5 linked regions of the Nothobranchius furzeri genome follow. The protein of the gene in region 2 purifies or fractionates together with the protein of the main gene of each other region. This does not show direct contact. Links are inferred from orthologs where the notes say so. Each region holds a gene or a part of one and is shown on either strand. Other genes may lie near its edges.

Evidence for each region.
Region 1: the proteins of nup107 (region 2) and sec13 purify together in Homo sapiens (affinity purification with mass spectrometry; 8 studies listed by BioGRID and IntAct, counting the BioPlex papers as one, with this or other methods). This does not show direct contact. The link is inferred for Nothobranchius furzeri from reciprocal best matches to the Homo sapiens genes NUP107 and SEC13.
Region 3: the proteins of nup107 (region 2) and seh1l purify together in Homo sapiens (affinity purification with mass spectrometry; 5 studies listed by BioGRID and IntAct, with this or other methods). This does not show direct contact. The link is inferred for Nothobranchius furzeri from reciprocal best matches to the Homo sapiens genes NUP107 and SEH1L.
Region 4: the proteins of nup107 (region 2) and tprb fractionate together in Homo sapiens (co-fractionation; 4 studies listed by BioGRID and IntAct, with this or other methods). This does not show direct contact. The link is inferred for Nothobranchius furzeri from reciprocal best matches to the Homo sapiens genes NUP107 and TPR.
Region 5: the proteins of nup107 (region 2) and nup37 purify together in Homo sapiens (affinity purification with mass spectrometry; 7 studies listed by BioGRID and IntAct, with this or other methods). This does not show direct contact. The link is inferred for Nothobranchius furzeri from reciprocal best matches to the Homo sapiens genes NUP107 and NUP37.

The regions. Positions count from the first base shown.
Region 1 is NC_091743.1:73,558,387-73,562,882, forward strand, and holds the start of sec13 (protein SEC13 homolog), read right to left. Parts: upstream 3,240-4,496; 5' UTR 3,110-3,239; coding exon 3,107-3,109; intron 2,916-3,106; coding exon 2,871-2,915; intron 2,205-2,870; coding exon 2,089-2,204; intron 1,925-2,088; coding exon 1,773-1,924; intron 1,090-1,772; coding exon 956-1,089; intron 809-955; coding exon 675-808; intron 562-674; coding exon 441-561; intron 1-440. UniProt on the Homo sapiens protein: Functions as a component of the nuclear pore complex (NPC) and the COPII coat. At the endoplasmic reticulum, SEC13 is involved in the biogenesis of COPII-coated vesicles.
Region 2 is NC_091741.1:38,068,307-38,072,300, forward strand, and holds part of nup107 (nuclear pore complex protein Nup107), read right to left. Parts: intron 3,925-3,994; coding exon 3,822-3,924; intron 3,748-3,821; coding exon 3,587-3,747; intron 2,182-3,586; coding exon 2,056-2,181; intron 3-2,055; coding exon 1-2. UniProt on the Homo sapiens protein: Plays a role in the nuclear pore complex (NPC) assembly and/or maintenance. Required for the assembly of peripheral proteins into the NPC. May anchor NUP62 to the NPC. Involved in nephrogenesis.
Region 3 is NC_091745.1:49,023,436-49,028,058, forward strand, and holds the start of seh1l (nucleoporin SEH1), read right to left. Parts: upstream 3,058-4,623; 5' UTR 2,978-3,057; coding exon 2,867-2,977; intron 2,510-2,866; coding exon 2,459-2,509; intron 573-2,458; coding exon 426-572; intron 339-425; coding exon 127-338; intron 1-126. UniProt on the Homo sapiens protein: Component of the Nup107-160 subcomplex of the nuclear pore complex (NPC). The Nup107-160 subcomplex is required for the assembly of a functional NPC.
Region 4 is NC_091748.1:67,333,066-67,337,059, forward strand, and holds part of tprb (translocated promoter region b, nuclear basket protein), read right to left. Parts: intron 3,889-3,994; coding exon 3,689-3,888; intron 3,589-3,688; coding exon 3,298-3,588; intron 3,024-3,297; coding exon 2,869-3,023; intron 2,786-2,868; coding exon 2,705-2,785; intron 610-2,704; coding exon 421-609; intron 334-420; coding exon 181-333; intron 1-180.
Region 5 is NC_091741.1:39,626,849-39,631,390, forward strand, and holds the start of nup37 (nucleoporin Nup37), read right to left. Parts: upstream 3,239-4,542; 5' UTR 3,178-3,238; coding exon 3,118-3,177; intron 3,093-3,117; exon of another isoform or gene 2,876-3,092; intron 1,902-2,875; coding exon 1,704-1,901; intron 1,624-1,703; coding exon 1,502-1,623; intron 1-1,501. Other genes in the region: parpbp (PCNA-interacting partner), read left to right, coding at 3,829-3,978, 4,266-4,502. UniProt on the Homo sapiens protein: Component of the Nup107-160 subcomplex of the nuclear pore complex (NPC). The Nup107-160 subcomplex is required for the assembly of a functional NPC.

The sequences.
Region 1 (4,496 bases), on a different chromosome or scaffold from region 2:
TGTCAGCAGTGAACCAACATCCCAACGGCTGGAAAATTAGTCCTGTTGTTGCAATACCACCAGAGTGTCCCTATTCCATATTTAACATTTAATTTCTCTAAATATTTTCTGAAACATGTCATCTATGGCTCCACCTGGTGATGAGGTGAAAAATTCAACATGAGATTTCTTTAGAAATACAACCTGCCCCCCCTCTCTTCCTTTTGTATCTTTCTTTCTCTTTCACCTCTGACTCCGTGTCTGGTCGGAATTACAAAGCATTCAAAAACAATAACAATAAAGTTTTAAGTACCAGGTGTGACATTAAAAGCAGACGCTTTGATGCTCCACCTGAGAGTAAATCTGTAAGGCTTGTCACCAGCATTCAGACATCAATTCTGTTTGCTTCACAGCCAGACAGGACACGGGGGGGAAAAAAAAGAAAAAAAAAGAAATCGGACCTGGGAGCAGCTGGCGATGGTGCTGGTGGGAAGACCAATAGAAGGAGCCCAGCCGACGTCTCTGACCCAATCACTGTGCGCCTCCAACTTCTGGTCCTCTTTCCACTGACCGTCTTCCTCTCTGCAGGCAGAACATTATTCAGGCCACAGAATATTAGCTACATCTGACGTTCACTGTTGAAAGTGTTCTTTTTTTTATCCATACAGGATGACAGATTTTCAACAGCAACTTACTTCCAGAGTTTCACCAGGTTGTCACATCCGCCAGAGACGAAGCGTTTGACGTAGTTTGGTTTCTGACCTGATGGCTGATTGATCAGGCTGCCTGGAACTACAGCAGGAGCCCAGCTCACTGCATTACAGCCAATCTGAAGCAAAAAATAAAGCTTTTAATTATTCTAAAGATACACTTCACGCCCCAAAAGACACAGAAACACTAAATTAGAAAAGGTGAGACAGAATAAAGTTTAAAAGATTGGTGACAACTTAGGAAAACCATTTCATTTTTAACTCACGGTGTGTGCGTTGCTGATCTTCTTGACGTCCCACTGCTGATCACCAGTAAATGTGAGGAGGGAAATTGCTCCATCTGAACTGCCACAGGCTAGGATTAGACCAAATTCATACGGACCCCAGCAGACTGAATTCACTGCAAACACAGAGACAGAGTTAAGGACGAGATCAAGTTGTGTGGAAAACTATTCAGTCAAACTGATCTCTCAGCCCCAATATATGAACATGAATTTCTTTGTAATTTCTTAAAAAGGAAGGATCAATTAGAAAGGGAAAAAGAAATGTACTCAAACAAAAGAGAATGTTGTAGAAACAGAACTTAATCTGAATATTTCATTTTTCTAAAGGTGTTGGCAAAAAAAAAGAGAACATATCTGAAACAAGACGTGTACTTTGGTGCATTACACTGACCTGTCGGGCAGAAGAAGAAATAAAATTACAACATTAAGATCAAAACATTTGTTATCTGTAAGAAAAACGGAACTTCTTCCAGCATTACTAGCACCTGAACTTCTTTCAAGAAGGCCACATGGATTAGCAGAATGAGGAGGAGGAGCACATTTAAACCACTAGAGGGATATTCAATTCCGGTCCTGGAGGGCCGGTATCCAGCACATTTTAGTAGTTTCTCTGCTCTAACACACCTGATTCAATGGTTGAATCACCTGTGCAGCAGCTCATCTGGCTCTGCAGAAGCCTGTTAATCACCTGCTGATTGAAATCAGGTGTGTTGAAACAGTTAAAACTAAAACATAATGGATACTGGCCCTCCAGGCTTGGAAATGAACACCCCGGCACTAGAATAATGGAGAACTCTACCTGATGACTCGTGTCCAGTGTACTCATACATCTTGTCCCAGGTGCCGTTCTCCTCCTTCCAGATGACGACTTTGCGGTCGTATGAACAGGATGCTAGAATGTTGCCGAACATTGGATGAGCCCACGCCACCTGCCACACAGGGCCCTCGTGGCTACATGATGCAGGACACACACACACACAAATAAATAAATAAAAATACATTACAGAACAGGTGAAGATTAAATCTTTAGGAAATAAATGGAAGTGTATTGACATTCACTTGACAACTCTACTTACGTAAATTTCTGTGCATATTCCAAAGCTTAGATCTCTTACCCTCTGAGGTCTGCCACCAGGATCTGTCCACCATTGCGGACGTCAAAGATCTTAACGGTGCGGTCAGAAGAACACGTGGCGAGTCGAGTCCCGTAATAGTCCATTTGGGCATCATGCTGAAACAGACAACAAAGCAACACCAGGAATGTTGGTGGGGATTTCTATGGGGCAGCAAAAGCACCAAACAATGGAAGCATGACACCTGGTTTATTCATAAATGAACTGATGGTGCTAAACTGAAACCCATTCCTTAAATCTTTCACCATCACATAACAAATGTGCGGCATAAACTGCATCATTTGAATGTTTGTTTTGGTTTTGATTTCCTTAAATTGAAACATTGAGAACATGATTAATCTTATCTTTTTAGGGAGAATGTGAATACGTGAATGATTTCGGCTAGATTTTCCCTACAACTAAAACGAAAATGCAAAACACGCCGATTAAGTGAAGTTTAAAGACTATTTAACAAATTTTCACAGTCAACACTACAGAATAATCCACATAGCACTGTTTCTGTAATTATTACACTATAGCATCTGGTACAGTTAAGACAAACATTTTGACTGAACGATCTAAAAGCACTAAACTAATTAAAACAATGTGCTACTCCTTTCTCAAAACACACATCCCAACAGTATTACATATTTAAATTAAAAACTGCTGCTTTACACAGAACACTTACACTTGTGGTACTGAATGAAGATAAAAGCTACAGCCGCTAACTGTTAGCTTTTAGCATCAGAGATAAAAATAAAACTGGATAAAACATAAACACTTACGATCATATCCTCGTGTGAAGTGTCCACCGTGTTTATAACGGAAACCTGCAATTGACAAACAAATAAGAACAAAATCAAGCAAATATAAAACTATATCCAGACAGATTAGCCTCCTGCCGTTAGCGATCGTGCTAATGGATTGACAGCTACCAAGACTAGCCAGCAAAATGTAAACATAAAATCAACATCCTAGAATATTTTGAGCTGAAACTAAAACAAAAAGTGACGAAATTCACCATGGCTGTGGCTAAACCGTGTAAACAAGAAGCCCCTGTTCTCTATCGACTAACTTCACAAGGTTCACAATTCCGACGTGGCAACAAGTACAGAAGCCGTTTCCTCCACCGAGTCCCACCTCACTTCCTACCGGGTAAAACAAAACGCCAAATGATAGTTCTGCGTGAATTAAAAAAGAAGAATAATAAAAACTTTAAAAACGCTTCATTTAACAAACAAACAAACAAAAAATAATCAAACAATAAAAAGGAAACAGTTTATTTGAGCTAAAAGCTAAAATTATTGATGGAAACTTAAATGTACAAAGACCCTCTATACATAGAATAGAATAGAATAGAATACCTTTATTGTCACCATACAGGTGTAAAGTGAGATACAGAGCATCTCCTACTCAGTGTAAAACAAACATACTTGGGACACACACACACACACACACACACACACACACACACACACACACACACACACACACACACACACACACACACACACACACACACACACACACACACACACACACACGCACACACACACAGTACATTTACACCTGTCTGTAATCATATTATAATTACTAATAAAATAGTAACATGAATTCACGTAAACAAATAGAAAAAGACAGAAAACAGAACACATCGATACATTACATTCCCTTTATCATTTCAATACAACATTAAAACAAAAAAAAAACATTATTTTAAGAGGAACAAGTGCTTCTTTTTCAGGTCTCCTAAATATCAACTGGTAATAATAGTCAATTTTTGAAGATGTCTCTCAGATTGTGATTTTTGGACAGCAAATTATCACGTCGTTACCCCAGATGACCACAAGGTGACGCCATAAACCCACAATAGTCTGACCTGACAGCTGTTTTTATCCTAACCCACCAAGGACCAGGTTCGGCCTTTTACTGAGGTCCTTGCTGCTGCAGATGAGGGCTCAAGCAATTCTGTATGACCCTCGCTACATAGCTGCAATAAACACGTTCGTCTTCCTTAGCGAGGCGCTGATGGGTGTGGATATGAGGCACCAGACCACGGTAACACACACACACACACACACACACACACACACACACACACACACACACACACACACACACACACACACACACACACACACACACACACACACACACACACACACACACACACACACACACACACACACACACACACACACAAATTATTCCATATAAATATGAAATATCAACCTGACTGATCTTTGAATGTTTAATCAGAAGAATATAGTTACTTTTACTTGTTCAGGGACCATAAACACACTTTGTATTACTGTAATTCAGACAGAGTCAGGTATATAGTTTATGAAATTAATTTAATTCTTTTACAAAATTAATATTTATACATGACAAGATATGAATAACGAGATGCG
Region 2 (3,994 bases):
GCCTGAGACACCAAACACACAGCAACACGTTACCAAAGCAGTCTAAAAGGCTTAAACACAATGGGCCCGGTGCTGAAGAGAAGCCTTTGATTAAGCATGTTGACAATATAATCTATTGAATCTTGAATTGTAAATCATTATTAATGCTCTAAAATATCGTCGAGACACACAAACTAAATTGTTTTAAAGCTGCACAGCAGCATAAAAGGTCATTTTGGCCAGAAACCACCAGAAGAGACTTCAGCTAACTACAGACAGAATTTGATCCCTTCGTAGGCTTGCAGAACCTTCCAGAATGTTCCAGCGTAGCGGAGAGGTGCCGGTGCTACCAGCAGAGGGAATGATAACAATGCTAACGGTAAACTAATAAAACTATTGATCTATTTATCTGTTTATACCCTTTAGGTTGTTTGGATCATAACGTTGCGACGGGACTCATGAGTAGACAAAAAAACAGATGGACCTCAATGTAAACAGTAATTATAATAAACTACTTATATGAGCTTTGGTTGATTTGAGGAATGCATGTTTGAGACTCTTATTGTGAAGGACTGAAGGAAGTTATTGAATTCTGCCCTGGACACAGATGCAGTATTAGCCTAAACACTGAACCTAATAAAACTAATTTTTTTGCATTTATTCAGCAAAAACACCCAGAAGCTTTAGTTACAGGTGCAGCTGGGTTCTGGAGAACAACAGGATTCACTTCCTGGAGCTTACAGGTGAAACTAACCATTTATGTCAGTAACGCAGCTCAGACTGAGAGACCATCTAAAGGCTCAGGAACCCTCTGCAGCTGTTCTGGCTTCATCAGCTGATCAGAGTCTTCCCCGAGTCTAGAATATTGAGCCTTTTCACAACAGTCTGACTGCCGGAGGTTTTGAACGTGTGGGTTTCATCAGCTGTAAGCCACAGTCATAACATCTGGATTTGCCTGGAATGAGTCGGTCTCTGATTCGTTTCACCTTTTAGACTGAATTAGTGACATCAGTGAACTTTTGTACCAGATTGTAATTTTTCCCGTTTCACCTGTACTTTTTGCATCCTTCAACTTGAATCTACACATTTACTTCTGGTTCTGTCCAACAGATTCAGTTCTTATGGAACCTTTACGCCGCAGGTGGCCAGCTTCACGCCCAGAACACACCCGCTGCTCCTCTGTTCACATCAGGCGATAATTTCCGGCGAGCACTTCTGCTCACGCCTACTGTTTTCCAATCCCCCCCGAACCCCATTCCCGTGCATGCATGCGTGCGTGTGTGTGTGTGTGTAACCAGCTGGCCCTGCTTGTTATCAGAAACTGCGCTGGTCCTGCTGCTGTTTTGCAGACCAGTTCTTTTCTAAATGGGTAAGTGTGTGTGGAAGTGTACAATACTGTTGTAGTTACCTTTGAATTAAACATATTTGTTTCTATTCAAGTTTATTAAATCCGTCTTTTGCTGTAAAAACTGCATTTAAAATTATGGAAACACTGTTTCTCTGCAGACGTGTGTGTGTGTGTGTGTGTGTGTGTGTTTGTTCATTTTCATCTCTCTAGTCTGTTTAGAAACACAAAAATGATTACATTTATCAATCGCGGTGTTTTATTTAGAAAATTTTCTTTATTTTGTTAAATCTACCGGCCTGCCTCCTGTTTTAGTTCGACTTCCTGCCAAAATGGACGCGGCTCACGAAAAAATGAGAGCTCATGCGGAAACGGCCGTTGCTCGTCGTGCACAGCGCTTCGCGGCGTCGTGCTTCCGCGTCTGGTGTGTTCCGGGTGTCGGTCCTCTGGGACGACTGTCCTGCATGTTTTACATGTTTCCTGTTGAATAAAATGGTTGAATCACCTCCTCACCGCCGTGGGACGATGTGCAGAATCCTGTTATAATCACTTCTTCATTTGAAGGGGACATTTAACGCAATCTCACATTTTGCACCCTTTGGTGACGTCTTGCGTGTCTCTGCTGCCTCTATAAACTCTAAACATGAAAAACTGCTGCTGGAGAAGCAGCAGCTCAAGGAAAATATAAACGACAGGGGCTGGATTATATTTAATCTCTGTAGCTGGTGTACCTGGTAATCCTTCTCTTTCATCTCGTTGGCCACCCTCTCGGTGAACTTGGCCTCGGGCGCAGGTGCTGGTTTTTTTGGTGCTGAACTGCTGTGACTGAACCAGTCGGTAAAGGCCTCGTGAGCTTCCTGTTGGACCAACGACACACAATCACATCAGTGTACCGCTGTCATCCACCTAAAGAGACACATTCAACAGCTGTGAAAGTCAGAACTACTAAACCTGCATCGTTGCTAGGAGACATCCATAATCTGGCTTTTGCGATGAGATTCAAACTAAAAGCTGGTGTTGAGAAATAACGGTGTTTTGTCTGTTTGGTCAAATATTGTGAATGACGCTCAGTTTTTAGCTCAGTGTCTTTTATAGAATAGACGCTCAAAATCGTGATTTAATTCACCCTTAAAAGGCATCCCTATATTATTATTATTAATATTATTATTTTACCGTCATCGTTTAAATTTCGTGGCACAGGAGTGCTCGCTCCGTAATCGGAAGGTTGCAGGTTCTAGCCCTGCTCAGTCTGCTGTTGTGTCCTTGGGCAAGACACTTAACCGCCCTCGCCTGCTGGTGGTGGTCGGAGGGACCGGTGGCGCCAGTGCTCGGCAGCCTTGCCTCTGTCAGGGCGCCCCAGGGCAGCTGTGGCTACATCGTAGCTCATCCCCACCAGTGTGTGAATGTGTGTGTGTGTTGTAAAGCACCTTGGGGGGTTCCAGGACGCTAGAAGGCGCTATATCAAATACAGACCATTTACCATTTCAATTCTGCTCATCCAGCTACAAAACCTTTCCTGAACCCTCATCCTCCTCCACGTGAAAGGTGGCTGAAAGTGATGCCAACGCTAGATGACCTCCTCTCTGTTTAACTCGTTCACTGCCACTGACGACTTAAGTCGTCATCTGCATGTTTTTACTGTGTGGGCGTCGGACGAGCCCCCGCAACGTGAGAACAAACATCTCAGCTCTGAAGTCGATCTTCATCCGCGTACGTCACACGTCACGTGATCAGGAAGCAGAACATCCATGTGTTAGGAGATCGTTTTGGAACGCTGCTGTAAAAAAAGTGAGGCGCGAACCGGAAAAGCTTCTGCCGATCACAATTCAACAACGGATTATGAAAGAACGGATAACGCTCGAAACGCGCGGTTTCTTCCTGATGTAAGAGGTGAGTCTCCGCTTTGTTTTGGTTGTTTTGGCGTCGACATCATCCTAGCGCGCAACGTTCTGTGACTCTAAAAAAAACAGTAAAAACGCTGGAAGCGAATGAGTTTAATGATAAATGACCTTGGCGTGTGTAGCGCCTTTCAGAGTCAGAGGACCCCAAAGCGCTTTACACTACAGCGCATCATTAATCCATTCACACATCTACACGGAGGCTGTGAAGAGCTACACACACGTGTGCTCCATTTTAAGGCCTACCTTTCCCTTCCTCAGTTGCTGAACACAACTTGCGATAACTTTGAGTTTGACTACAAACTAAAGTATTTTGCAGAAAGACAAACTAACGCATGCTTAAACAGGCAAGAAGGTAACAGACCAGGTAGGCTCTGATGCACAGGTGTTCTCTGATGGCGTTCTCATCCTCAGCAGGAAGAGGACCGGTCTGACCAACACTCGTCCACTGAGAGTATATCTTCCTCATTGAGTCTTCAGGAACTTTAGAGAAAACAGCTTTGGCTGCGTCGTGCTTCTGCAGCGCTGAGAGACAAAGAGTCGTCGGTGAAATCCTCGCTGGAGCAAAACGACTAAAACACTCGTAACAGCAAAAATACCGAGGAATCTTCTCATGATGGCGTTGGACTGCTTCAGAGCCTCGGCTCGATGGGCGGGGTCAAACAGCAGCCAATCAATCACATTGATTTTCCTCTGGTCCTCCTGTCAGAGAATGGCGGCACTCAATCAAAAGTACCCAGTGAGATGAGGTGACCATTAAATCACAGAATAC
Region 3 (4,623 bases), on a different chromosome or scaffold from region 2:
ATAAAACAAGACATAAAGGAATGGCAGCAGCAACAGTGATGCTCAGGTTTAAGGAAATTCTCCAAATGACCGATTACAGAAACAAACATGTCCCCCATGTGTTAAGTGAAATAATTATCATCTAACCTGGAAGGGTTCCAGGATATACAGCTGCAGCTGAGCTTGCATGAGATCTCGTGCTGCAGAGACCACTGGCTCAGGTTCATCACGTCAGGAGCCTCGTAGATCCTCACCACTCCATCAGCAGAGCAGGTGGCCAGCATCAGACCCATGTGTTTAGGAGCAAACTTCACATCAGTTACAGATGTTCTGCTGTCCACCAGTGTTGTTCTCTTTATCTGAATCAGAGCACCAGAAACACGGGTCAGGACTCGAGACAGGCAAACCTATGAAAACATTAATGACTGAGCTGTGGCTGTACAAACCCAGTGGCTCAGGCCTCTCTGTTTGTCATTGGACTCCCCTACGATCTCCTCCCAGACAGCAGCTGTTCTGTCGAAGGAGCAGGAGGCCAGGACCTGCCCAAACTCTGGATGGGCCCAGGTTACTCTCCACACTGATCCACTGTGGGTCTGCACACACATCATTACATCATGGATAAGTCCAAAATACACAAATATACACTCACCAGTCACTTCATAGGTACATCTGCTACCTCTGGGGTCAATCTTTCGTAAACATGGCCTATCATTCCATCTGTATGCTGACGATTGCCAGATTTACTCTCCATTGTGTCAGGAGAAAGGTCACTTTATTCAGTCCTTTGTCTCCTGTGTTAATGAGGTGAAGTCTTGGCTAATGTCCAACTATCTACATCTGAATGAGGGAAAGACAGAGCTCATTGTTTTTCACCCCAACAGCAGGAATGTGGATCGTTATGCTGATCTTGGCCCTCTTTCTCCATACTCAAAACCAGTTGTTACCAGTTTGGGGGTGAAACTTGATGTAGGACTTAAATTTGATGCTCACATCAATTCTGTGATCCGGTCCAGTTTCTTTCACCTGAGACGCCTTGCTAAAATCAAGCATATGCTGTCAAGAGCCCACCTGGAGCGGGTACTGCATGCCTTTCTAATTTCTTGGCTTGACTACTGCAACTCTCTATATGCAGGGTTGTATCAGTCAACACTGCATCGCCTACAGGTTGTGCAGAACAGCGCTGCCAGGTTCCTGACTGGGACCAGGAAACGGGACCACATCAGTCCAGTTCTGGCCTCCCTGCACTGGCTTCCGATTTCCTATCGCTCACAATTCAAAATACTCGTCTTTGTTTATCATTTCTTCCAGGGTGGTGCTCCCCCCTATCTAGCCACACTCCTGAAAAGACACTCCCCATCACGCGCTCTGCGCTCCTCTGACCAAGGCCTGCTCGCTGTCCCTCGGTCTAGGTGTCGTACCCGTGGGGACCGAGCTTTCTCAGTCCTAGCACCGTTACTCTGGAACCAGTTGCCACCCTCAGTTAGGCTGTCCCCTTCTCTGCCAGTCTTTAAGAATCACCTAAAAACACACCTCCTCCGCTTGGCATTTCCAGAACATGTTTGATTTTGGCACTCTTTTATGTTGAATCCATTCCACAGTTTTCATTGGTACACTCAATCCATCCACTCAATCCAAATGTGTTTCACACATTTGTATTTTACCGGAATGTTTCATCTATCTTGTAATTTCCATTTTGTATTTTGTAATTTGTATTTTGTAATTTGAATTTCTTTTATTGTTGATTTATTCAATATAATTACTTACAACTGTACCATGTTCAGCGCTTTGGGCTTCCTGACAGGGTTGCGGAAGGCGCTTTATAAATAAAGCTTTGATTGATTGAAAGCTTTGATTGATTGACCTATTCTACAGCTTTGCACATTTCCACTCAGCCAATCGCATGACGGGCGGCACTGTCCATTTAGGCATCTAGACATGATGAAGGCTACTTGCTGAAGTTGAAACTGAGCATCAGAATGTGGAGGAAAAGACATTTCCATGGTTTGAATGTTGTATAGAATAGAAGAAGAGAAGCTGAAGAGTTTGACCATGTCCAGCCCTTTATGACCACATAGACCCATCTTCTGATGCTACTTCCAGCAGCACCATGTCACATAGCTCAGATCATCTCTAACTAGTTTCTAGAACTGGACTCTAATGGCCTCCACAGTCAACAGATCTCAGTCCAGCCCAGAACCTTTGGGATGTGGTGGAACTGGAGCTTCTCATCATGGTTGGAGCCGATGCTGTCATGTCAGGTTGGACCAGAGCCTCTGAGGACCACTTTAACTTCTTGTTGGCTCTTTGAGATGAAGGATTAAGGTGGTTCTAAAGAGGTCTAAAAGAGGTCCAACCCGGATCTATTGGCAAACTTGATAGTGCCCGTGAGTGTAGAGCAATAGTAAATCTGTTGAAACAGCAAAGATTACCCAGGAAGGGCTTTTACGGTCATGTAAACAAACGTAAGCAGGTTGTTTACCTTCCAGCTGGCTGTGCAGTGCCACTCTCCATTCTCACTTTTGTCCCAAACCTGTCAGGAAGTCACAATAAACAGCTGCTGTTACGTCATCTCCACACATTAATTTTAAACTGACAACACACGAAATGAGTTCCTATGGTTCCTACCTAAAACACAACACTCGCTGCCTTACGTGATTGAAGCTTTTACTGATACGTTCATATTCCAGTCAAACGTCTGCACACATTAGCCTGCATGCTACAATGTAAGTACAGTAACATGCAATACTTTAAATTAGTTTATAGTTTTAAAACAAATTTTGTCTAATTTAGCTAATAAGCGCATAATGTGCCAGCACACAACACGAGTGTGTTCAGTAAGAAGCTAGGAACGTGGGTGACGCTAACATGCTAGCTTGAGTCAGCTCACCTTCACACTCTGGTCGCTGGAGCATGTTGCCATTCTCCGGCCGTGAAAATCGTAAGAGACATCGTGGATCAGATCTTTATGGTCCGCAGCGATACTCCGAGCTACGAACATGGTTAGAAGAAAAACAACAGCGAGATTAGCTGCACTGCACTGGTTAGCACAAGCTCCCGCCTGTCACGTGACAGAGAGAAAGAGAGAGAGAGAGAGAGAGAGAGAGAGAGAGAGAGAGAGAGAGAGAGAGAGAGAGAGAGAGAGAGAGAGAGAGAGAGAGAGAGAGAGAGAGAGAGAGAGAGAGAGAGAGAGAGAGGTTTTTGAACAGTGAACCACATTGGGGGGGGGGGTGCTTCAATTCAAACAGGGTTGCCAAGTTTGGCGAATTTACTGCATTTTAGATACAAATGAGATGTTCATGGTACACTTAAGCATAAGTCACTCACTTCTTAGGGTTCTACAACCCCCTTCAAAGCACTTTACAATACAACCAGTTATTCACACACACACACACACACACACACACACACACACACACACACACACACACACACACACACACACACACACACACACACACACACACAAACACACACACACACACACACACACACACACACACACACACACACACACACAATGAGCCCCAGGGCAACTGTAGCTACGATGTAGCTCATCACCACCAGCACCAGCATGTTAATGTTTATGCATTGGGGAATTACACTTTGGTTTTGTTAAGAAGGGAAGGGGAGATGACCGTGTTTAACCTGTAACATAAATACAGTTATTATTGCATTTTTAGCTAAACAATAAGAGAATGAGTTCCCCTCATGAGTTGCTATGGCCACAAATGCTGTAGCATTTCATTTAATTAAAGAGCAAGTCACACTACAAGAAACTTACTACACTCCCACTTCATGTTTGAAAAATGCAACGAATGCGTTTGCCTGGCTGACCGAGAGGGCGGAGCCGTTAACAAACACACACAAACAGGTTCACAACGGCATTGTGACATCATAATGTACCAGCTGACTTCAAAGGGTACCTCTTAGCCAACAGTGATGGCAGATTTAAATTCAAATGTAGTGCAGAGTTTTTACCTGAAGGGGGCGCAACACTGACAGTTTTAGGCTGCATATTTAAATTATAAGATGCACTAAAGTGCCAAATTATTGACTACACACATCTATAGAGCTCCGGACCCCACGTGACTCTCAGTTAGTAGACGCCATATTGGCAGGGAAAAAATGGTAAACAAACACGGATCGTAAACATGAACATGAACGGGATCGGCTTGGATTTTACTTCGTCTGAGTTTACTTCACACTTTAAAACTGAAGAAATCGTTTTATATAGTCAGAAATTAAATAGACCAAACATCTCCGACCCTTAACCGTGCCCCTGGGATACTTTTTTAAAACGCCAGAAGCTGTCGGAGCGGACTTCTTACCGGATCTGGCCGGGGAACCCCTTGGGATTTCCCCGGAGGAGCTGGCTCAGGCGGCTGGGGAAAGGGAAGTCTGGACCTCTCGACGCTACTGCCCCCGCAACCCGACTCCGGATAAGCGGATGAAAATGGATGGATGGACAAATAACAGATTTACACGTAAGTAGTTTAAATAGAGTGCTGTGCTGTTTGAATGTATAAACTGAACACCAAGAGAAATCACTAGTTTGATTGTTTTCCATGAATAAAATAAATATGTCAGGCAGGAGCGTCTCAGGATCTGTCTGAGATCTGACTCGGTGAGACAAATAATAGCAAT
Region 4 (3,994 bases), on a different chromosome or scaffold from region 2:
GCATAAACAAGAGCATCCAAGAAAGAGCTCAAGTAAATATGGGTGAAAATCCCATGCAGACAGGTTACAGCAGCAGGGTCGATCACATGTGACAGTGAGCTGAGGCGGTGGAGCAACTGAGCGGTGAGCAGGAAAAGAGAACAAACATCTGACTGGAAGTGAGCACGGTGATGCTCTAACCTCTGTGTCGTCCCCTTCATAGGCCTCATTGCCATCTCCACTCCCCTCATTACTGTCGTCTCCTTCCTCTGCCATCTCTCCATCGTCTTCCTCCTCTTCTTCATCTTCCTCCTCCTCCTCTTCTTCATCTTCTTCCTCCTCCTCCACATAATCCTACAGTCACCAGGAGGTCAATGCACCAATGAGCCTTACCCATATATTTCACAGAGACTTCAAAAGTGTTTCACACAAACTCACTACCTGCTCTTCCTCTTCTTCCTCGTCGTCGTCGTCTTGCTCATCTTCACTCTCAGAGTCAGTCAGGATGACAATGACCTCCTGCGGCAGAGGGTCTTGGGTCTCACTTTGGGTTGGGGTGACCCCGTGCTCCATGATGGACTGAGTAGCGACATCATCCTCCATTTCCTCCAGGTTAGAGAACTCCTCCGTCTGCATAGAGAAGAGCATGTAGGTCAAACACACGCAGCTTACAGCTCCCAGCAGAGGGAGAAGGTAGTGCCATACTCCACAAGATCCACGTCTGATTTGTTTGTGCAGCACATTCAAGACAACTGAGATCAACTTAATTACTTACAGGGACTATATTGTGCGAATGTACTTTTTGAGCTTTTGACAGTGTTGTCTTGTTATTTCCTAATCAAAAACACCCTAAGTGATTTTTGGCTGCTGGTCTGCCCAGCTATTGCAAACAGTTGGAAGTTGCAGGTGTGTATCAACCTGTCCTGCTCCAACCCTGTAAACAATCACGCCCACTCTCCGAGTTGCAAGTGGGTGATTTAATCTCCTCAGATGTACAAAAAGCTACTTATTTCTCATCTAGTCTGCACTCTAGAATGCAAAAACACATCTTTGGCTGTGAGAGGTACAGGACTTTGTTCGGTCTTCCCAAAGAAGATCTTACTCACTAGAAACGGTTGGATTTTATCTTCAGGAGCTCTCAAGACCAAGCCAGGTGACAGTGATTTCACAGACTGATTGTTAAACCTCCGCCAGTACCGGAGTGGATTTAAACACCAACTACTCCTTCAAACTGGCACCATTCAAACGTTAAAACCACCTGACGGAGAGGGATGAGCAAAACCGAAAGGTTAACCGCTAGTGGAATGGTTGCAAAGTTTGGTGGGTGTGCGTGTTGCCAAAGCTGCTTTCTTCTTCATGGTCCACGCTGCGTTGCTTGGGATCTAGGGATAGGTCATGAAATGGTTGGAAATCACACAGTTGGAGGTGCAATTTCATGGAATCCAAGCGTCTTCTACCCAGGCTGATAGAATATCTCAAGAAAATAATTATATTTCAGAACAAATTAAGTGTCCAAAGTGTCGTCTTCCTCCGCTTATCCGGGTCCGGGTCGCGGGGGCAGCATCCCAACTAGGGAGCTCCAGGCCGTCCTCTCCCCGGCCTTGTCCACCAGCTCCTCCGGCAGGACCCCAAGGCGTTCCCGGACCAGATTGGAGATGTAACCTCTCCAACGTGTCCTGGGTCGACCCGGGGGCCTTCTGCCGGCAGGACATGCCCGAAACACCTCCCCGGGGAGGCGTCCAGGAGGCATCCTGACCAGATGCCCAAACCACCTCAACTGGCTCCTTTCGATCCGGAGGAGCAGCGGTTCTACTCCGAGTCCCTCCCGAATGTCCGAGCTCCTCACCCTATCTCTAAGGCTGAGCCCGGCCACCCTACGGAGGAAACTCATTTCGGCCGCTTGTATCCGCGATCTCGTTCTTTCGGTCATTACCCAAAGCTCATGACCATAGGTGAGGACTGGGACGTAGATCGACCGGTAAATCGAGAGCCTGGCTTTCTGGCTCAGCTCCCTCTTCCCCACGACAGATCGGCTCAGCGTCCGCATCACTGCAGACGCTGAACCAATCCGCCTGTCGATCTCCCGATCCCTCCTACCCTCACTCGTGAACAAGACCCCGAGATACTTAAACTCCTCCACTTGAGGTAGGACCTCTCCCCCGACCCGGAGGTGGCAAGCCACCCTTTTCCGGTCGAGAACCATGGTCTCAGATTTGGAGGTGCTGATCCTCATCCCAGCCGCTTCACATTCGGCCGCGAACCTACCCAGCAAGAGCTGAAGGTCAGAGCTGGATGAAGCTAGGAGGACCACATCATCCGCAAAAAGCAGAGACGAGATTCTCCTGCCACCAAACTCGACACACTCCACACCACGGCTGCGTCTAGAAATTCTGTCCATAAAAGTGATGAACAGAACCGGTGACAAAGGGCAGCCCTGGCGGAGTCCAACCCTCACTGGGAACAGGTCCGACTTACTACCGGCTATGCGGACCAAACTCACGCTCCTCTGGTAAAGGGACTGAATGGCCAAAGTGCCAACGGTAATATTGTATCACATATGCGCCTACCCTTGCTCCGAAAGGTTTAAGTTAGCATGGTTGCATGTCTCTTCATGTTTATGCCAAATAAGATCCTAAAAATATTCAATGAATTCTACTTTTCTCCAAAGCATTATTGGGTGAAACAGAAGCTGTAAGAGAACTTCAAATAAGTGATGACATGTGACCTGGCTTGGCTCTGCACCATCCTGACTGTCCGATGGAACTACGCCTTCAGCTTCGCCACTCTCCTCAACCAGAACCTCCTCCTAGGAAGACCAGATGAAAATCAGCCATGGGAGCAGCTTTTATTTGAACAAGATCTGGTAAACACTGGTGTTTAGATCCTCACCTCTGGGCCCACTCTCTGGATCATGCGCAGCTTTTTGGCTATGGGAGTCCTGGAGGTGTCCTCCTGGGTTGTTTCGGTCTCAGCGGTCACGACGCTGCTTTCCTCCTCCTCACGAGGCCTCTTGGACAAAGCAGAAGTTCCCGGTGTCGCTGAAACTAGAGATGGACAATTATTAACCACCCCCTTCAATCTATTCTAAACTGTAGCACGAAAAGCAAAAATATACAACTTTGTGTGAGTCAGTGAGATCTTCCTTTGTCCATTTTTAAATGTAAAATAAAAATGAGCAAAATGCTTTTTAATATGATACACATTTCCTTAACTTGGACTTTCCCATTATTTAAAAAAGAAATGGTTAAAATTGTAAAAACATCTTCTTAGTAAATAACAAATCCTAATCCACATCAGATTATTATGAGGATTTCTCACCAGTGCCAAACACAGAGGAAGTGGAAGACGTTGATGGCCATTCCACCTGAGAACTGGGCGTTGCCTCGATCACAACTGGCAGAGGGTCCTGACTGGCCGGTTCTGAGTGGGTCACACTCTGTTGTTGCGTCGGCTGAACAAATGCCGTGGCCTGGGTCTGGGTCTGCTGCACGGTCAACATGGGACTAGCTAAAGTGGTCTGGACATTTGGGCTGGCGGAGCGCACAGAACCACTGGCACTGCCGTACACGGTCACGTGCTCCACCGGTGGGCTTTCAGTCGACTGCATGGCTGTTGAAGATCAGGGTTAACAGGAAATTACACTTTGTTCAGGACTTAGAAAAAATTCAGTAACATATTGGATTTGATTTGATTTGTACTTTGCAGCTACCTTCCTGGGTCTCCACCTGTGTGGTTGGCATGACTGTAGCAGTTGGTGTTGGTGTGGGCACGGGGGCCGGGGTAATCATGGGTCTGATGCTTGCTCGTGGAGTGGGTTTACTTCCCGGGTTGTTGGTCTGTTTGCTGGGTGTGGCGACTACAGGCGTTGGCTTAATGTTGGCAGTCGGAGGAGGGTCAGAAGTGCTGGCGCTGTCCATGAAAAACACTTGTTAAAAAAAACAAACGGATTCTATGGGATTTAACAAGAGCTACCAGAGATGTGCCAGTTGAGATCATCAATAACACTGGTCAGGGT
Region 5 (4,542 bases), about 1.6 Mb from region 2:
CACGCTCAGGCATCGCCCGTAACATTTGCTATCAGTAGCTTTAACAGCAGAGAGAGAGGCAGTGCCAACTCAGCGACTTTGTCGCTGTTCCTAACGCCTAGTGATGAACCTAGCTTCATTTCTGAGGACCCTTAGCTACTTTCTTCTAGATATTTCCTACAAATTAGCAACAAAATTGCCATTTTCTCTACGAACCGTTCTTTGAACGTTGTTTCAGCTGTCATCAAGGATATAAATGTTACAGATACAAAAGATGTCACTGATGCTATAGCTCACCCAGTAAGACGGCGGACTCCTGTGCAGAAGACCCGGGTTCGATTCTGGATGTAAATATAGTTCATTTTGAGTTTCTTTTTTACATTAATGGTATATTTTTTTACAGTAAGATGCCCAAATTTTTATTTGAGACTCGCCGAACGGCATTGAATTCACAGATAAAAAAGATGTGGGTTCAACTTTCATTTTGGAACAATTTTTCAAGCAAGGGAAGGGAATGATCTGAGCATGCAGGAGGACTGACCCATCATAAACCTTTGTCGGCTGTGCTGAAGAGAAAAGTACAGAACCAAATTATTTATTTAATTAGCTGTGCGTTCTCCTGTCCTCCGGGCCACACACACACACACGGGACTGTCAGCTGCTATTTTCGTTAAGGAGTGTGCACGTACAGCATGTGCGCCTCGTGCACGAGCCTACTATTGAAGCTGCCGTTACGCTTTTGGCCTGAGGGGGCAATCGCAAGCATCAAAATTCAAAACTCCGTAAAGTCCCTTTAATAATAGTGTGTATTATTTACACTAATCAAAAATTCTGTAATGTTCGCAGACATCTAAACCTTAGAAATGAAATAAAATCAATATTAAATTTAAAAATAATTAATATTGTTTCTTCATTAAGAGAACAGTTATCTGTGAGCACTTTTTATACTTGATATTGTCCAGCTGAAGCAGACATCTGCTTATTTCTAACAGAGCTGAGCTGTGGGAGAAAATATACAGGCTTATTTAATTTTATTTTCCCATCACCTGTGAGTTTTGAGCATTCACTTAATATTAATTATAAAATCATAAATAACAGGTCACTCTGGGCTAGAACGTGTTTCTAGGAACAGAAGCTTGTTGGGTTAGGTTGGCAGCAGCTCACCTGTTCCTGACAGGAGAAATCCTCTCATCAGCAGCAGGTGATCTACAGAGTAACACCGGCCCGAAAAAATAAATAAATAAATAAAAACCCAAAAAACACCGAACTCAAATAGGGCCACCGGGAATTTCCCCAGCTGGGTCCTGGTTCCGCCCACCGTCGGATATATAAACACACAACTTAGATCTGAAAAACGGAACTATGAAAATATAGTTGACTTGCAAAAAAAGGTATTAGGGTTGACACTGCTAAGATTACACGTGTGATCCACCGAACAAGCAAGGCAATTGACACATAATAACACAGTATTCTGTTACCAGTCAGCAAAGATTTACAAAATAATTATGGTAAAATGTTATACCTGATGGTAGGTATCCTGTTCAGCTGAGACTCTGGACTCCAAGCCAAAACTTCGACTTGCAACTCGTGATGAAAAGCTCGAAGTATGTTGAATTCAACTCCCTCCACCTCCATATCCTCCTCCTGTTGATGCAAATTCACATGAAAGACAAAAATAATCGATGTGAAGGGTAAACCTGGCTGTGTGGAGCTGCATCTCTAACCTGGAAGAGGCAGGTGGCCACCACCACATACTGGTTCCCACCGTAAGCCAGGAGAGAGACGGGGGTACCCGAGCTGAAGGGACTGAACTCCACCACATGGACGTAGTCGTCACATGGCACAGTGTAGCTGGGACTGTGGATAGCGCCCTCCTGCATGACGTGTATGCTGGGAAAGCTGGCTCTGAACCGGGACTTCCACTGTTATTTATATCAAAACAAAGAGGGGCAAATTAGCACATTAAACAGGATCATTTCTGCACAGATCCGGTAAAACTGTTCTAGTAATGAGTTGTTTCAGTTTGTCTCAGTTGTATTCAGGTAATAATGTAATTGGTTACTTTACTCACAACTGTTAAACGTGTTACTCGGTCTATCATTTTGATGACTTCTCACTTTTCACAGAATGTGCTTGAAAAAATATGTCTTCATTATTTCTTAGTTCATCCAATGGCTAGTTTTAAGTTATTAATATTAATATAATGCACAAATGCAGGGGCTCCACATTGACATAGCTGGTAGCCTTGCAGCAAGAAGGTTGCAGGTTAAAGTCCTGGCTATGGCACTGACCTAAGAGATGCATTTCAGGTTAATTGTCTCAAGTTTTGAGTGTGAGTGACTGGTTATCTGTGCGTTCCTGTGATGGATTGGAGAACTATCTAGGCTGTTCTCTGCTTCTCGCCTGATGATCGCTGGAGTTACCAGCTACCCATGACCCTGCTGAGGGTAAAGCAGTTAGGAGTGAACTGCTTATGCTCTTGTATTTGTTTATTTAGGCAGAAACCCTTCTCGACTTGGAAACCCGGATTACTGATTAACTTTTATTTAAAATGACACAAAAATAAATCTGAAAGATGTTCAGACTAATTAAAAATTATATAACTTAAATCATAAAATCTAAAAGGCACAGGCTGGTTTTGGCTGAGGATAACGGAGAGGGCTTGATCACCTGGTTTCCTTAAATTGTACTTTTCTTTTACAAATTTTGGAAGGTAGTCCTGGTAAAATCAGTGAGAAACATTGCGAATGATGCTACAAAGCTATTTAGGTCACTGTTTAATTCGGCAAATTGTAAACACAAATCAAACTTGAATAAATCATAAATAGAAAAATTACACAGGAAAGATACTTGAGTTACATTAAACTACAGTTTTTGTAAACGGCTTTACAGTTACCAGTTACAACAGTGGGGTATCCCGAACATTTGGGAACAAAAACTGCCTCTTTTGTCGCGTATAAATGTATTTCCAGTAAACTCTGTCCACTCCACGCGTGCACATAACAGTGAGCTAAAACCTGGGGCTCCAATTATTACTGGTTTTTAGCAGTAAATGCTCAAACCGACAACTTATGATCCAATTATTTCTATATATTGTATATTTCCATTTCAAACCCTGTAATAGCTTCAATACTTTACCAAACTACTGGCAGTGAAATTGCTGCATAAACAACGCCGCGCGCTCGATGGTTTTCTCATCTACTTCCGGATACGATTTGTGGAACGTACCATCATTTGAAAATATCAGGGGGTTAAGGGGTACAACGAACCTAAATAAATCATACATATTTTTTTAAATACATGAAAATACAATCGTACTTAATCATAATTTATGCTAACTTCAACTTCAGTAAACTGTTAACAGTTCGTAAAATGTGATTGATCTAAAAGTACATTTGTACAAAGCCCCCCTGTGTGCTTGCTTCAATTTAATTGGCCAGAAGGCACATGGCGTCACAGTCGATTTAAAATTTCAAAACAGCTGCTGCCTTTGTCGTGGACTTGGAAGGCTGCAACGAGAAAACAGGTTAGAACTGTTTAAACGGTTTAAACCCACTTTTTGGGGTCAAATTTTAATATAAATGTGTCGAGTGTGTGGGGGTACATACAGGTGATGAAAATAAAAATAAATATAATGGAACACGTTAGTTGTGTTATTTCAGCAGTTGCTGGCCACAACATCTGACTGAAGATGTTAGGCTTTACATTTATGTTCAACATATTTTATTTGCCTTTCAAACACAAACTAAAGCTCTTCTAGTAAATGTTACTTAACCCTTTTCTAAATCTTGAAACCAACACAAAAACAGTCTTAAAGAGCTCTTTCTGCTATTTTTGTTATAGGATATAATGACAGCTTTAGGGGACCGCCTCAAGGTGATGGTGAAAACCTTCAGGAGAGAGTGTCACAGGATGTTGGAGTCTGAAAGGACCACCATTCATGGAGCTGACGGCATGCTGCTGGTGCTGCAGGTGGCCATGGCAGAAGTGAACAAACAGGTGAGCGTTAGTTCATCCTGTTTGTGATGCAGATTAATTTTAAAAATCAAATCTTCCAATAACCTAGGTTTTAGTTTTGTTAACATATATTTAAAATTTTTCATATTTATTTCACAGAGGCATGCACTCTGTAATAAAACATAATAATAGAACGTCCATACCTGATGACAATACCCGAATGAGACTTCTGATTGCTAATTTTTTGGACCTCTGCAGGTCTTTCTCCTTTTGGACTGGTTGGTTCCAACCCATCAGTAATTGTGACTTCTTCTCTCCTCCTCTGACAGCTGAATGGAGAGTTCAGAGTGGCTCTGAGTGACGTCCTGATGGCCTGGAAACACTTATTGTTAGACAGACTTCACCTGCCGCCCCCCAGCTCTGCACGTTTGGAGAACTATGATCTCATCCTGGAGGCGTATGAATCTTTCCTGCAACGCTCCAACACGCTGGATCTGATTGATGTCCTGTCCATGTACAAACAGCTCAAGGTGGTGGACTCTGACCCAGAGGAGCCCGTAGGCTCGGTGAGCAGTAAATAGTTAGTGGAGACTTGATTTGGTTATT